Drosophila melanogaster: one gene and its partners. The gene in region 1 interacts genetically with each later gene. Each region holds a gene or a part of one and is shown in the gene's direction. Other genes may lie near its edges.

What was found. A genetic interaction does not mean that the proteins touch.
Region 2: of Prx2 (region 1) and Hayan, changing one suppresses a phenotype caused by changing the other (phenotypic suppression), as found in Drosophila melanogaster (one study listed by BioGRID).
Region 3: of Prx2 (region 1) and Urm1, changing one suppresses a phenotype caused by changing the other (phenotypic suppression), as found in Drosophila melanogaster (one study listed by BioGRID).

What each region holds. Positions count from the first base shown.
Region 1 is NC_004354.4:13,328,156-13,332,594, forward strand, and holds Prx2 (peroxiredoxin 2), read left to right. Parts: upstream 1-1,668; 5' UTR 1,669-1,809; exon of another isoform or gene 1,810-1,875; intron 1,876-2,243; exon of another isoform or gene 2,244-2,524; intron 2,525-2,863; exon of another isoform or gene 2,864-2,966; coding exon 2,967-3,551; 3' UTR 3,552-3,839; downstream 3,840-4,439. Other genes in the region: IP3K2 (inositol 1,4,5-triphosphate kinase 2), read left to right, coding at 1-106, 233-610. UniProt on the Drosophila melanogaster protein: Thiol-specific peroxidase that catalyzes the reduction of hydrogen peroxide and organic hydroperoxides to water and alcohols, respectively.
Region 2 is NC_004354.4:18,479,456-18,485,649, reverse strand, and holds Hayan (hayan), read left to right. Parts: upstream 1-1,877; 5' UTR 1,878-2,209; intron 2,210-3,006; 5' UTR 3,007-3,013; coding exon 3,014-3,095; intron 3,096-3,160; coding exon 3,161-3,341; intron 3,342-3,516; coding exon 3,517-4,293; intron 4,294-4,421; coding exon 4,422-4,489; intron 4,490-4,517; exon of another isoform or gene 4,518-4,584; coding exon 4,585-4,856; exon of another isoform or gene 4,857-4,921; coding exon 4,922-5,108; exon of another isoform or gene 5,109-5,165; coding exon 5,166-5,512; 3' UTR 5,513-5,667; downstream 5,668-6,194. Other genes in the region: psh (persephone), read left to right, coding at 1-5, 71-354, 413-596, 655-1,001. UniProt on the Drosophila melanogaster protein: Serine protease which, by converting prophenoloxidase 1 (PPO1) into its active form, plays an essential role in the melanization immune response to physical or septic wounding.
Region 3 is NT_037436.4:7,639,284-7,642,223, reverse strand, and holds Urm1 (Ubiquitin-related modifier 1), read left to right. Parts: upstream 1-1,777; 5' UTR 1,778-1,782; coding exon 1,783-1,820; intron 1,821-1,886; coding exon 1,887-1,954; intron 1,955-2,017; coding exon 2,018-2,099; intron 2,100-2,159; coding exon 2,160-2,208; intron 2,209-2,264; coding exon 2,265-2,333; 3' UTR 2,334-2,413; downstream 2,414-2,940. Other genes in the region: CG7506 (uncharacterized protein), read left to right, coding at 641-1,138, 1,197-1,409.

The sequences.
Region 1 (4,439 bases):
CAAGAAGAGCGATGGCACCAGTTCCAAAGATTTCAAAACGACGAAGTCACGCGAACAAATCAAGTTGGCCTTTCTCGAGTTCCTCAGCGGTCACCCACATATTTTGGTGGGTATTCAAATTAGCCAAGCATGCCCAGTTGAATGCCATTAACTTGGGGATTCCCTGCGCTTGTCATTACTTTTTCTTTTCTTTTTATTTTATTTTCTTTTCTTTTTTTTTTTTTGCATACAGCCCCGCTACATACAGCGTTTGCGAGCCATAAGGGCCACCCTTGCGGTCTCGGAATTCTTCCAGACCCACGAGGTTATCGGCAGCTCCCTGCTCTTCGTCCACGATCAGACCCACGCCAGCATATGGCTAATTGATTTCGCCAAGACGGTGGAGCTGCCGCCGCAGCTGCGGATCGATCACTACTCCGCCTGGAAGGTGGGCAACCACGAAGATGGCTATCTCATCGGTATCAACAATCTCATTGATATCTTTGTGGAGCTGCAGGCATCCATGGAGGCGGAGGCGCATGCGCAAGCGCAGGCGGAGGCCATTCAGTCACCCGTTTCTGGTTCTGGAGGAGATCAAGCGGAGCAGACGGGTGAAGAGAGCAAACCCTAATGGGAAATCCATACATTTCCACACGGAGGTTTGGGGCTGGGCCCCGGAGACAAAGACATTTCCAATTTCCGAATCGATTAATCCCCAATTCCTAGGCTTAGTTATACATTTTTTTTTTGTTTTTTTCTAACAGTTTGCGTACATTTAACCCCTTAAGTTTAAAATCAAAGACTGAAATCACAATATGCATACACATATTTTTTAATATATACGATATACGCGTACATATACATATATAGAAGATATATAGCCTGGCCTATATGTGCTGCTGCTGCTGCTGTAGTGTAATTTATTTATCCAAAACAAAAAAAAAAACAAAAAAATTCACGTTTGGCGAATCCTAGAGATACCCGAATGGCTGGAGATAATACCCACAAGGCAGTTGCAACTGTCGATCGTAACGATACGAAAAGTAACTAAGAAATGAACACACCCAACACGCAACAAGAGCTTAGACTAAGTTTTTAATATAATGGTTATGCGACTACCTACTAAATACTACTAATTGTGCACTATTAAATTCAGTTAAAACAAAACGAAAAAACGAAAGTACTTGTTTCAATTTATTTGTGGAGATTTGTGGACCACAGAATAGCATAATACATAGAAAATATTATTTGCGCCAAAGTGGAATAGAAATGGTTATTATAAACAGGAATCAGTTCTTTAACTACATTATTTATAATGGAAGAATTAAAAAAAAGCGCGGTTTTTTCATTTTGGCGGCAAAATGACGACCAGTGTGACCGTTAAGCTGGTGTGCCCGAATTATACTAAAAGTACTGCTCAGTACATATTATTACACATTATTTATTATTAGTAGTAGTACTTGTTTCCAAGTCTATCAAAAGTTATTAAGCGCTACTATCTTAAAACTTGAATATTAAAACTTACCATTTAAAATGTAGAATCCACTTTTGAAAAGCACGCCAATAGTTGATAGATGGCGCTTTAAGCACTTGCTAAAAAATATCGATGAGCAGCGTTAATCGGCGCTGCCTATCGCAAGCGGTATCCGTGTTGCGGCAGCCCTGGTCGACCAGCATTCGCTTAATTTCAATCCATTCGCGAATTTCAACTCGTGCCGAAAGGTTTGTTTGTGCGAAAGCTGAAGCTGCGAGAGAACGAACAAGAGGAAGCCCACGCGGAAGTCAAGCAATTACCGAGAATTACTAAGAGAAAAAATATAACTGTTTAAAGTGAGTGTTCCTTGGGCGATGAACAGGTCGCTCATTCTGGGCAAAGTCGGCGAGAAATTGCGGAGCGTAAGATTAGAAATTAGCATCGCTGTTGTTGCTGTTGTTGTTCTTTTTCGATGAGCAAAAGATAATGATGTTCATGTTCGGTCGGCAGATTCGAGATTATTTCACAACTTTTTGCACCGAGAGCATAGTTTTTTTCTTCACATTTCGTTCTTTTTTTTCCACTTTATTGGCACGTCCGTCGCACACACTTACACACACACGTACACGCGAAGAGCCGGCGAAAAAAAGGGCACAAAAATGAAATCAAAACTAGAGGAAAATATTTGCCAATTCAGAAATAAGTTTGTGATTTGTAATTAATTCGCATCCATTACATGAAATACGCGAACGTGCCGACAGTTCAATAAATTCAATCGCATAAATGGGAGCAGTCGAAAAATTTGGCTAATTTATTATTCCGGGTTTCTTCCATTTCGCTTCGCTCGGCGGCCATTTTGTAGAGTTCAGCTTTTCTACTCTCCTCTTTGATCTTTCCAGTTTGTGGCGAAATATCTGGAAGTCAAGGGTAATTGCCCTTAATCGTTAGTAATTGCCGCCATTAGAACTCCGATTTATAGAGACTTTTAGTATGGAATTAGCATCAAGTTAACTACTTTACAATTGAAAACCAATTGGAAGTTACATAGGCAAGATTAAAGGTTATAAAATAGTAAGTTTACTACAAAATAGGTATATTGCATATGAGAAATTTCAAGAATTTCGTAAATATTTCCAATTTTCATTCTAAGGGCCTAGCATAATATTGATTTCCCATCATAATACTTTAACAGTATCTATTCATATTAATTTCCATGATTTCACTAGCCTCTATAAATGCAATTTTTTTAAACAACGGTTATCTTGTAATAATCCGAGGTTAGAGTGATGAAATTTTTGTTTTTTGTGGGGCCCAAAAAATCTTGATAGATAAGATAAGATGCGTATCGGTCGAAAGAGGAAGTATCAGTCACAGCGAGATTTCAAGGGGACCATATGAGGGATTTACAATTGAAGTTCTCAAAAGAAGGCGACTAAGTTCAGAGCACTTTGTTGTTAATTATTCGCTAGTTTGAAGAAACATGTCTCTAATTCGCCATCCATTCATTGAACAGATGCCCCAGCTACAGAAGCCCGCTCCCGCATTCGCCGGCACCGCCGTCGTCAACGGTGTTTTCAAGGACATCAAGTTGAGCGACTACAAGGGCAAATACCTGGTGCTTTTCTTCTACCCGCTGGACTTCACCTTCGTGTGCCCCACCGAGATCATTGCGTTCTCGGAGAGCGCCGCCGAGTTCCGCAAGATCAATTGCGAGGTGATCGGTTGCTCCACGGACAGCCAGTTCACCCACTTGGCCTGGATCAACACGCCAAGGAAGCAGGGTGGTCTGGGCAGCATGGACATTCCACTGCTGGCTGACAAGTCGATGAAGGTGGCCCGCGACTATGGAGTGCTCGATGAGGAGACTGGCATCCCCTTCCGCGGCCTGTTCATCATCGATGACAAGCAGAACTTGCGCCAGATCACCGTCAACGATCTGCCCGTAGGTCGCAGTGTGGAGGAGACCCTGCGTCTCGTCCAGGCCTTCCAGTACACCGACAAGTACGGCGAGGTCTGCCCCGCCAACTGGAAGCCCGGCCAGAAGACCATGGTGGCCGATCCCACCAAGTCCAAGGAGTACTTCGAGACCACCTCCTAAAGAGGCTATCTGTTCGCTGAACGGGGCCGCTCCTGGCGAGTGGGAGTGGATTCGAATCGCAAACCCCCCGTTCAACTAAAACCAATACATATACTACATTATATATCCTACACATTAACCCTAGAGCGTAGAAGAAGAAGAAACTGTGAGGCATCTTTCCCTGCAACAGCGCCACCCAAAAATAAGATGATAAACACCTGCAGACGCTAAGCGGAAAGTGATTATTTTTTACGTATATTTTGTGTGCTTTTTTTTTTTTGTAATTCACCACAATAAACGATTGTACGGAGCACGTGGGTCTTTATCAGGGGGTGGCGGGCGGACTTTCGCCTCAAACCTCTGGTCTTATCATCCGGGGAAACATTTCCACAAAAGAAAAAAAAATGGAAAGAAATAGCAGCGGGCGACTTATCACCGTCTGCGACTGGCAATTGCGAAATTGCAAATAGACTGAATCAGAATGCCAGGAATGCTTCGCTGAAAGAAATGACGAGTGACTTGTGCACAGTATACAAATCTACATGTGATGTCTAATTAAACCCGGTTAATAATCTGTTAACATGTACTTGTAGTTACCTATTAGTTGTTCCACATATTCTGTAACTTTGTTACTTTGATGTGGCATTTTATTGCAGTGCAGACAACAGCTGTTGGATTGGTGACACAGTAACCGAGTGCACAATTCCCGTTTTGCCACCATCACCACCCATCCATTTCAATGTTAAGCGCAAGCGAGAGTCCTCTAGTCGACGTGGATGTCTCGCATATTAAACGGGTCTTGACTCTACCGGTATACCCAGATATATATGTATATAAATATATACGATCTGCCTGATTTGAACCCCCTTTTGTGATCGCAGCGTTTCAACTATTACGTGTAGTTCGCGT
Region 2 (6,194 bases), 5.2 Mb from region 1:
GGCAGGTGCTTACTCTTTTGATCAGATCACTCCTAGAGTTCCTCTACTTATTTCCAATCCCACGATATAGCCTGCAAGAAGATTCGCGAGCGAAAACAGCAGAGGAGCGGCAATCAATTGGTCATACACATCGTGGGCGGTTATCCGGTTGATCCGGGTGTATATCCCCATATGGCGGCCATTGGTTACATCACTTTTGGCACCGATTTCCGATGCGGCGGATCGCTAATCGCCAGTCGCTTCGTCCTGACCGCCGCACATTGTGTCAACACCGATGCCAATACGCCGGCCTTTGTTCGCTTGGGAGCTGTGAACATTGAAAATCCAGACCATTCCTACCAGGATATCGTCATAGTGAGTCACTGTGCTTATGCATTAAGTTATAGCCATTCTGATCGATACCATATCTCAGCGAAGCGTTAAGATCCATCCGCAGTATGTGGGCAATAAGTACAACGATATCGCCATTTTGGAACTGGAACGTGATGTCGTCGAGACGGATAACATCCGGCCCGCTTGTCTCCATACGGATGCCACCGATCCGCCATCGAACTCCAAGTTCTTTGTCGCCGGTTGGGGCGTCCTAAATGTAACCAGTGGGTAGCACAAAAAGTTCCATATCCTCCACTTCCACTAATGGCTAACCATCCGCAGCTCGGGCGCGATCTAAGATCCTGTTGCGCGCTGGTCTGGAGCTGGTGCCTCTGGACCAATGCAATATATCCTATGCGGAGCAGCCCGGTTCCATAAGGTTGCTCAAGCAGGGCGTGATCGATTCGTTGCTGTGCGCCATTGATCAAAAGCTCATCGCCGACGCATGCAAGGGCGACTCCGGTGGGCCGCTCATTCATGAGCTCAACGTGGAGGACGGCATGTACACCATCATGGGCGTCATCTCGTCGGGATTCGGATGCGCCACCGTCACACCGGGACTCTATACGCGTGTCTCGTCCTATCTGGACTTTATCGAGGGCATTGTCTGGCCGGACAATCGGGTGTAAAGTTGGGAAAAGTAAAGTTTTTGTTTTTTTTGTATGTATATTATTTCTATTTGGGATCAGGACTGCCTGATCCATCGCAATTGGCAAACACTCATCTGTGATCTCTATGAGCACCGCGATCGAACCATTTAATACCAATAAAGTAGATACGTTTTAAGATATAATCAATCGGTACAATATTATTTCTGGCAGTTCGGTTTCCAGAACTCTGTGAAGTGATTTTTCTGGTTCTGTTTAATTTTAGAGGGATTTCTGGGTCACCACTTTTATTGAATTGCTGCACTGTATAAAAAAAATGGGGAAATACAAACAGAATGCATTTATTTCAGAAAGATTTGTCATAAGAAATTTAAATTTTAAGCATATGTTTCAGACTATAAGTTGAAAAGGACTTCTTGGGTCACCACCTAGGTCGCAACCTAGGCAAGAAAGTAAGTATCTGGGTCACCACTTTAATTAGAGAAGAATTATACAAAAAAAAAAAAAACAAGATTACTGCAATTGAAACTATATATATGGTAAGTTCTAAAACACGATTCTGTGACACAATTATACTCGACTTTTAAAGGTGTAAATATCGGGGTCACCAAGCGCAGCATAGACCTTACGCGGTATCCTTTAGTCCATACCGCTCGCCTGTTGCTTACCCACTCGCTAATTACAGGCTGCCTTTGTGCTTTGTGTGCTCTGGCTTCTGATCGCTTCGGATCGTTCTGCGATTCTGCGAAGTGGTGGAATGGGAAACCGGTTCGCCGCTCAGCGGGAGAGGATCGGCTCTGGGTGCTATCAGCTGCTGGGTCCGGCGCTTCTTGGTCGACGTCTAAATGGGCCTCATCGGTTCCAGCTCCAGCTCCAGCTGGGGCTCAGAAGCTTGGCTTCAGTTGCTTGGGCGATGCGTTGCTGAGCGGTCAGAGCCGGGAAAATAGCCAGCAGATTCCATACCGCCGCGATTTGTGATAGCCACCGGTTTTTAGCTTTATTGACTCTGCTGGTGTGCTTTTTGCGGTGTTTTTTTCTTTATTTTTTATTTTTTTTTTTCGTAATTCCCTTGGATTTTGTTTTGTTTATGTGGTATTGAATTAAATTGTATTGTATTGTGCGGTGCCCGATTGCCATAGTCACCACAGTGCTCGACGCACTCAATAAACGACATCGATACGTAGACGTACTACTCCCTTATCAGAGACCGAAAAAAGGTCGTGTCAAAGGTGCGTTCGATAAGGCGGACGTCGGTGTACAGTGAACAGTGGACAATGGACATTGGGATTGCGGGATGTGGGGATGTGGGGCTATGTATTGCATGTTCTACTTTTGATTTCGTCGTGTTTACAATGGGCAATTACTGCGGAAGGCCGGAAGCTGATTAGCAATCGCATACCTATTTAATACAATTTCATTTGGGCCGATAACAGGTGATGTCATGACACTTTTGCATTGCTTCAATCGGATATATATGATTCAGTTGAACTGCAGACACATTGACGACTCTCTGCTCAATTGAGCAGCATAATTGTCAGGTGTTACTTTCGTATCGGTTATTACCGACGTAGCTGCGATATCAGTTGGCAGTACACGTCTTTAGCCGGTGGTAAAATCCCAGCGGCATGCCTCCCATGAATCATCTGATCTCACCTGGCGGCGCTGCTGGTGAAATGCTCGTCGTAATCGGCAAACACAAACTTTCCATCAACACAAAGTCTCTCAAATGAAATCAATCAAGTCTGGCTTACTACAATCGAGCAGTTCATATGGAGAATGCTTTTGTGGTGTTCCCATATTAAAAAAAAAAAAAAATCGTAAATGGGTCAATGGCAGTGGATGTGGATCGGTTTAATCAGCTGAAAGTCGAGTCGATTGAAAGAAACAGATCTCGTTTGTTTTTCCCTTACCATTTCGACGAGGGCTTCCCCTGTTGTGAAAATGATGTTTTCCATTTTCGGTTTTGATAAGGCTGATAAGCGTTACCAAGTAGAATGGGATTCACTAATGCTTTTGGGAATTTCAGCTGACCGATGGCGATGATCTCGGCGAGAAGGTACTTCCTTCTGGGTCTCCTGGTGCTGACAACTTCTGCGTATGTAACAGTTGGGGATGGTATGTAGGATGTCTTGCGGCGCGTACACTAGATCCTTGCCAGCTGGCCGCATTTCTCGTTGCAGAGGGCGATCCCTGCCAGGTGAGGTCGGACATACCGGGAATCTGCCTCTCCTCCTCAGCCTGCGAGAACATCAGAGGATATTTGAAGTCGGGCACGCTGTCCACCAGCCAGGTGCCGAGTTGTGGTTTTGGCGCCCGCGAGGAGATCATCTGCTGCCCCACCGTCGCCTGCTGTGCCACTGAGTAAGCGTGTCCTTGTCTCCTTGGCCTCTGCGCTCTATTGTCCTGTTTTTTGTCCTCCTGTTTGTGCACCATATATATGTGTTTGTGTGTGTCCCGCTTGTGCTGTGTGCCCACCGATGTTGCATGCCCCGGTTACCGGCGTCCAACGCCAGACTAACACCTCTCACTCCCACAGTCGAGGTCGTGAGGTCCAATTCCATGCTACGAGCTCCGAGCGCAGCAGTTTACCCGAACCCAAGCGGGAACCAACACCAGAACCGGAGCCACTGCCTCCAACGACCACCGAGGGGAAAAGGGAGCGGGAAAGTCGGCTGGACGAGAATCAGAACTTCTTTGACTTCAACAAGCTGCTAAGCACCACAGTAAAGCCGCAGAAAACCCACGAGTCCTTGAAGTTGCCCACACAGGAGTCGATGAAGACGCCCACTCACGAGTCCATGAAGATGCCCACTCACGAGTCAATGAAGTTGCCCACACACGAACCCATGAAGTTGCCCATCCAAAGCGTTGGAGCTTGGGGCATAGCTCCTTCGAAGACTCAACCCATTGCAAGCACCCAGAGATCTTTTATGGAACCGGAGTGGGGCCGTGAGCCACGGATTGTGAACCGTCCACTGACCACGCCTCGATCACGACCCCAAAGACCGAATAATTCCAATTTCAATACCAATCCAAGCCCCAATAATAACAACCTCATACATTTGGTCAACGATCGGCTGCGGGAGCAGGGAATGCAGATTGAGCCTGCTCGAGAAGTGCCCATGGTGTTGCAAACCACGCCCACGCCCACACCCGCACCCACGCCCACGCAATTGATCGATCCCTTTGAACCCTACCGATTTCGGGGCCAGGACAGAGACAAGGATACCCAGCCCCAGGAACCCTGGAACGATGTCAGCAATAATCTAGACGCGGATCCAGCTCCCAGCATCTTCAATCCAGCCGAGACGCGGTTTGTCTGAGCATTCTTTTGGCATGGACATCAGTTGGCCTCAGCCAGGGAGCCGCATGCAGTCTCTGTCTCAGGTGGAAACCATCGTGAGCCCAATTTTAATCGCTGATATACCTTGTCTTTCGCAGGCCAACGACGCCCAATCCCAATCCCTCCCGCGTCAATCTTCCCGAGAAGGAGCGACCGTCGGTGGCAGGTGAGTTGCGCATTCTTTGGAATATTTTATATGAAAATATCTTTGGAGATATATTATATACAATATATATTAAATTTCCTATCATCTGATGATAGCGTGTGAGAAGATCCGATCCGGTGGAAAGCCCCTGACGGTGCACATTCTGGACGGCGAACGGGTGGATAGGGGCGTCTATCCCCACATGGCGGCCATTGCGTACAACTCCTTCGGGAGCGCAGCGTTCCGATGTGGTGGATCGCTCATCGCCAGTCGATTCGTCCTCACAGCGGCTCACTGCGTCAATAGTGACGATAGCACACCCAGTTTCGTCCGTCTGGGTGCGTTGAACATCGAAAATCCCGAGCCGGGCTACCAGGACATCAATGTGGTTGGTATCGCCATGTGACACATGGTGCGAGATAACCAGTTGAACTCACTCACTTCCATTGGCAGATTGATGTTCAAATTCATCCGGACTATTCCGGCAGTAGTAAGTACTACGATATCGCCATTCTGCAGCTGGCCGAGGATGCCAAGGAGTCCGATGTCATCCGTCCCGCCTGTCTCTACACGGATCGCAGTGATCCGCCAGCGAACTACAAATATTTCGTCGCCGGTTGGGGTGTAATGAATGTGACCAGTAAGTTGTGTGTGCGTAAACTGCAGGATTGGATTGTGTTCGATGGTGTCTTTACAGATCGTGCCGTATCAAAGATCCTGCTGCGGGCGGCTCTGGATCTGGTGCCGGCCGACGAGTGCAATGCATCCTTTGCGGAACAGCCGAGTGCCAACCGGACGTTGAGAAGGGGCGTGATTGCCTCGCAGCTGTGCGCGGCGGACAAGAATCAGCGAAAGGACGCCTGTCAGGGCGATTCCGGTGGACCTCTCATCCTGGAGATTGACGACGTCGACGGCACCTACTCGATCGTAGGCGTAATCTCCTCGGGCTTCGGCTGCGCCACCAAGACCCCGGGCCTCTACACACGCGTCTCCTCCTTTCTCGACTATATCGAGGGTATCGTGTGGCCGTCGAATCGTTTCTGAGGCGTCATTTGATCTGCAATAAATTTAGTTTGAACGGATCGGATGGTGTTTCCCATCAAAAGTGTTTGATAAAGGTATTTTGTCTTTAGACAAAGTTCGACACAATTCAGTGAGTGTCATTAAAGAAGCCATAAGGGTTGTTCATTCAGTTCCTCAAAATGTTAGAATCGATTTTATTTTATATAATAGTGTAGTATAATAGTGTAGTATAATAGTGTAGTATAATAGTGTAATAGAAATTCAAACATCTGAGGCAACTAAGAGGTATCATAAGTGCCAAGCACTTTACCCACTGACGTTTTGCAGCAGCCCTGGTTTCGGGACAGCTGTCAAACTATCGCTGTCTGCGCCTCACCCGCTCGTACGTAAACAGAACTGAGAGCGCAAAAGCTCGCTGCGCGCGGCATTGCCAGGTGTGGCATTCGAAAGTTGCGACAAAAGCTGCTTACTGAGCTTTTGCAGTCAGCTGTTCGCCGCCGTTACAAAGTGCTGCCGGCTTACTGCGGCCAAACAGCCAGCCAAACACCACCCACCACCCACCACCCACCGACCCACTGGCCCCGTCCGCTCGCAGCAAACCAGCCCCCGCTCTCCCCACAAGGCCGCACTCCTGCGGGCAGCAAAAGTGGGAGCTGCTTAAATGGCGCTGCCAGGACTCCTCGGGCTTCAGTTGGTCGCGAGA
Region 3 (2,940 bases), on another chromosome or scaffold:
AAACGGGAAGCTCCCCCACTCACTTTTCTTGTTAATCAATTACAAACTGCAGTACGTACTCAATATTTGCCGAATTACTAGCTCTATTGTTCCGAATTGGTTGGAAAATCATTGGGAAATACAATCGAATTTTTTGGCAGCAATATCCTAAAGTAGGTCAACACTTTGAATAATATTTGCAAACGCCTTTCCTACCGTTTTAAGCGTGAGTGTAAGTGAATTTTAATCGATGTATAAGTGTTAAATAATCAGCTCCTAATTGGTAAGTACAAGTGTAATTATTATTAATTTTTATTTTTGTATTTTTTAAAGAGAATCTTATCTTATAAGATTGTAATATTGGTCGGTTTAATGTAAATTAATTTTAGCTTAGAAATGTTAGAATTTTAGGATTTTAAATTTTTAATATTTGTTTTTAGTATCAATAAGTAAAAATAGTCAGTATCGATTTAAATTTCCGTTGTCAGTGCAATGTTGCCGTTTCCTGTTTCGGTATTCAAAAGGAGAGTTGGTATATTTTGAATAGACGTATCGTTTCTGGATTCTTTTAGCGCCCAAGTGTGGGCCACACTGCAACTCGTGTTATTTAACGTTCGGCAAAAACAGCTGTTTATTTCTACTGAAATAAGTAAATTACACCATGTTAGGCCTGCGAGCGATGCTGCCAAAAGGGAAACACTTTGCTGTTGTCCTGGGAAATGTCAGCCGTCAGATTACCCTGCCCCACAACTGCAGATGCATTACTAGTGCCTCATGGACAAGACCACAGCAGTCACAACCACAGAACTTCCAGCAAAACAGGTGGCTTTCGGTGAAGTCGACGAAAACTGAATCCGACGATGCACTGCAGCGGATCTACTATGGAACTCTTGCGCCACGCATGAAAATGGTCAAGTTCTTTTCGCTGAGCACCAGCTTAGCCGGCTTGGCCGCCCAGCCCATTCTTCTCGAGCAGGGAATGAAAATCGGAGGAACTGGAATGGCCGTATTCCTCTGCACCGTCGGTGGATTCTTCACCTTTGTGACTCCTCTGCTGCTGCACTTTATTACCAAGAAATACGTGACGGAGCTGCACTACAATCCACTAACGGAGGAGTACACGGCCACCACAATATCCCTGCTTCTGCAAAAAATCAAGGTGGGTAGAGCAAATTTAAAAGAGCTTGCCTTCAATGTACATATTATTTACCTTTTAGACTACTTTCCGACCAAATGATGTGGTCGTTCCGGAGGTTCCCGGCATGTTCACCTCTTTTCTGGTCAACAAACGACCTCTGTTTGTGGATCCAGCGCTTTTCGATGATCCCGAGCACTATGTTAAGATAATGGGTTACGACAAACCGATCGATTTCAAACTGGATCTGACTCCGAATCCTGAAAAGTCGAAAACGAGCGAGGAGAAGCAATAAAAAAAACGCTCTTTATGATAACGTGTTTTTTTTAATTTCATAAATTCACAACGAAATGTAAAATGTCTTCTTAGAGCACAGATCATAATATGCTAATGAAAACTTTACCTAGCGTTCCATTGGAATGCCACCTGTTTATGTTTCTCAATGGGAATAATTATAATGCTGAGTCCCCTCGTCGAAGGTGAATGGTAAAGGTAAATTTACGTACAAATTATAATTTCTTTCAAAATGCAATAATTTTTGGAAGTTTAGAGCATGTGGTTGCCAGACTTTTTAGAAATTAGGATTCTATATTTGGTATTATTTTTGAATGGTGGATTTTTTTGAAAAGCTTAGACGCGGTCACACATTTATTTACATCGAACATATGATGGGCACGCCGGAATTAAAAATCATATTAGAATTCAGGTATATAAAGCCTTGTTCGAATTATTATTTCCAATAAATGAGACAATTTGTAATTTAATTTCGTAGTGCAGGGGCGGAGTTACTATTTGGTAACATAAAACGCCGTGAATTGAACTTGGACGGTAAACAAAAATGTATGTTCTAAAAGATGTTTTAAACTTGAGTGAAATCGGTTATGAATTATATATATTTTAAAGGGACTATTGCTAATCTGCTTAAGTGGATGCATGCGAATATTTTAACGGAGCGTCCGGAACTTTTTCTTCAAGGAGATACTGTGTAAGTTTGGCTTAAACTATAAGGGATACATAGTCTATACTTTCTATTGTATGTTTTCAGGCGACCTGGAATTTTAGTACTCATAAATGATACAGACTGGGAATTGCTGGTAAGTAAGAGTACAGAATATGGAATTCTAAAAACTATAATTAACTCAACTTCTAGGGTGAACTGGACTACGAGCTGCAGCCCAACGACAATGTGTTGTTTATATCAACTTTACACGGTGGTTAAAAAACGTTCTGGAATCTAAATTATAGGAGAAAAGTTTATTTTTATACTACAACCCATTAAATTGTATTCAAAAAACAAACAAAAACAGTTTTTGACTGAATCAGAATTACGTCCCTTTACCAGAGGCAAAGGCCCACACGATGGTTCGGGTAGTAAAGTTTTCATCATATCATCTAGAGATTGTAAGCTAGCAGGTTTTCGCTATTTATAAAAGCACAGCATTGAACAAGCACTTGGGAATTGTAGGGAAGTTAAAAATAGAACAATCCAGATGCGGTTTGGCGGGTAATTCGAAGTAAGGACAACACGTTAGTTTTACATTGAAGCAACATTTATTGAATTTAAATTTTCGCTTAAAATTATTTATCGAGTTATTATGAAGTATAGATATATTTTTTTAATGTTCGTTTACGATTATTTTAACTATAGGCACTTAGGTTACATATCAACTAACTGTACGTAATGAAGTTCGATTCAGATATGTTGGGCATCGGCCACGCCCCTTTTTCGGGTGCTGCTCATGGCTCCCATCGATTTCTGTGTGTGTGTGGTGCGGATCGTTCGATTGTGTGGACTAAGAACTAGATATGTATGAAACTTGCTTCGA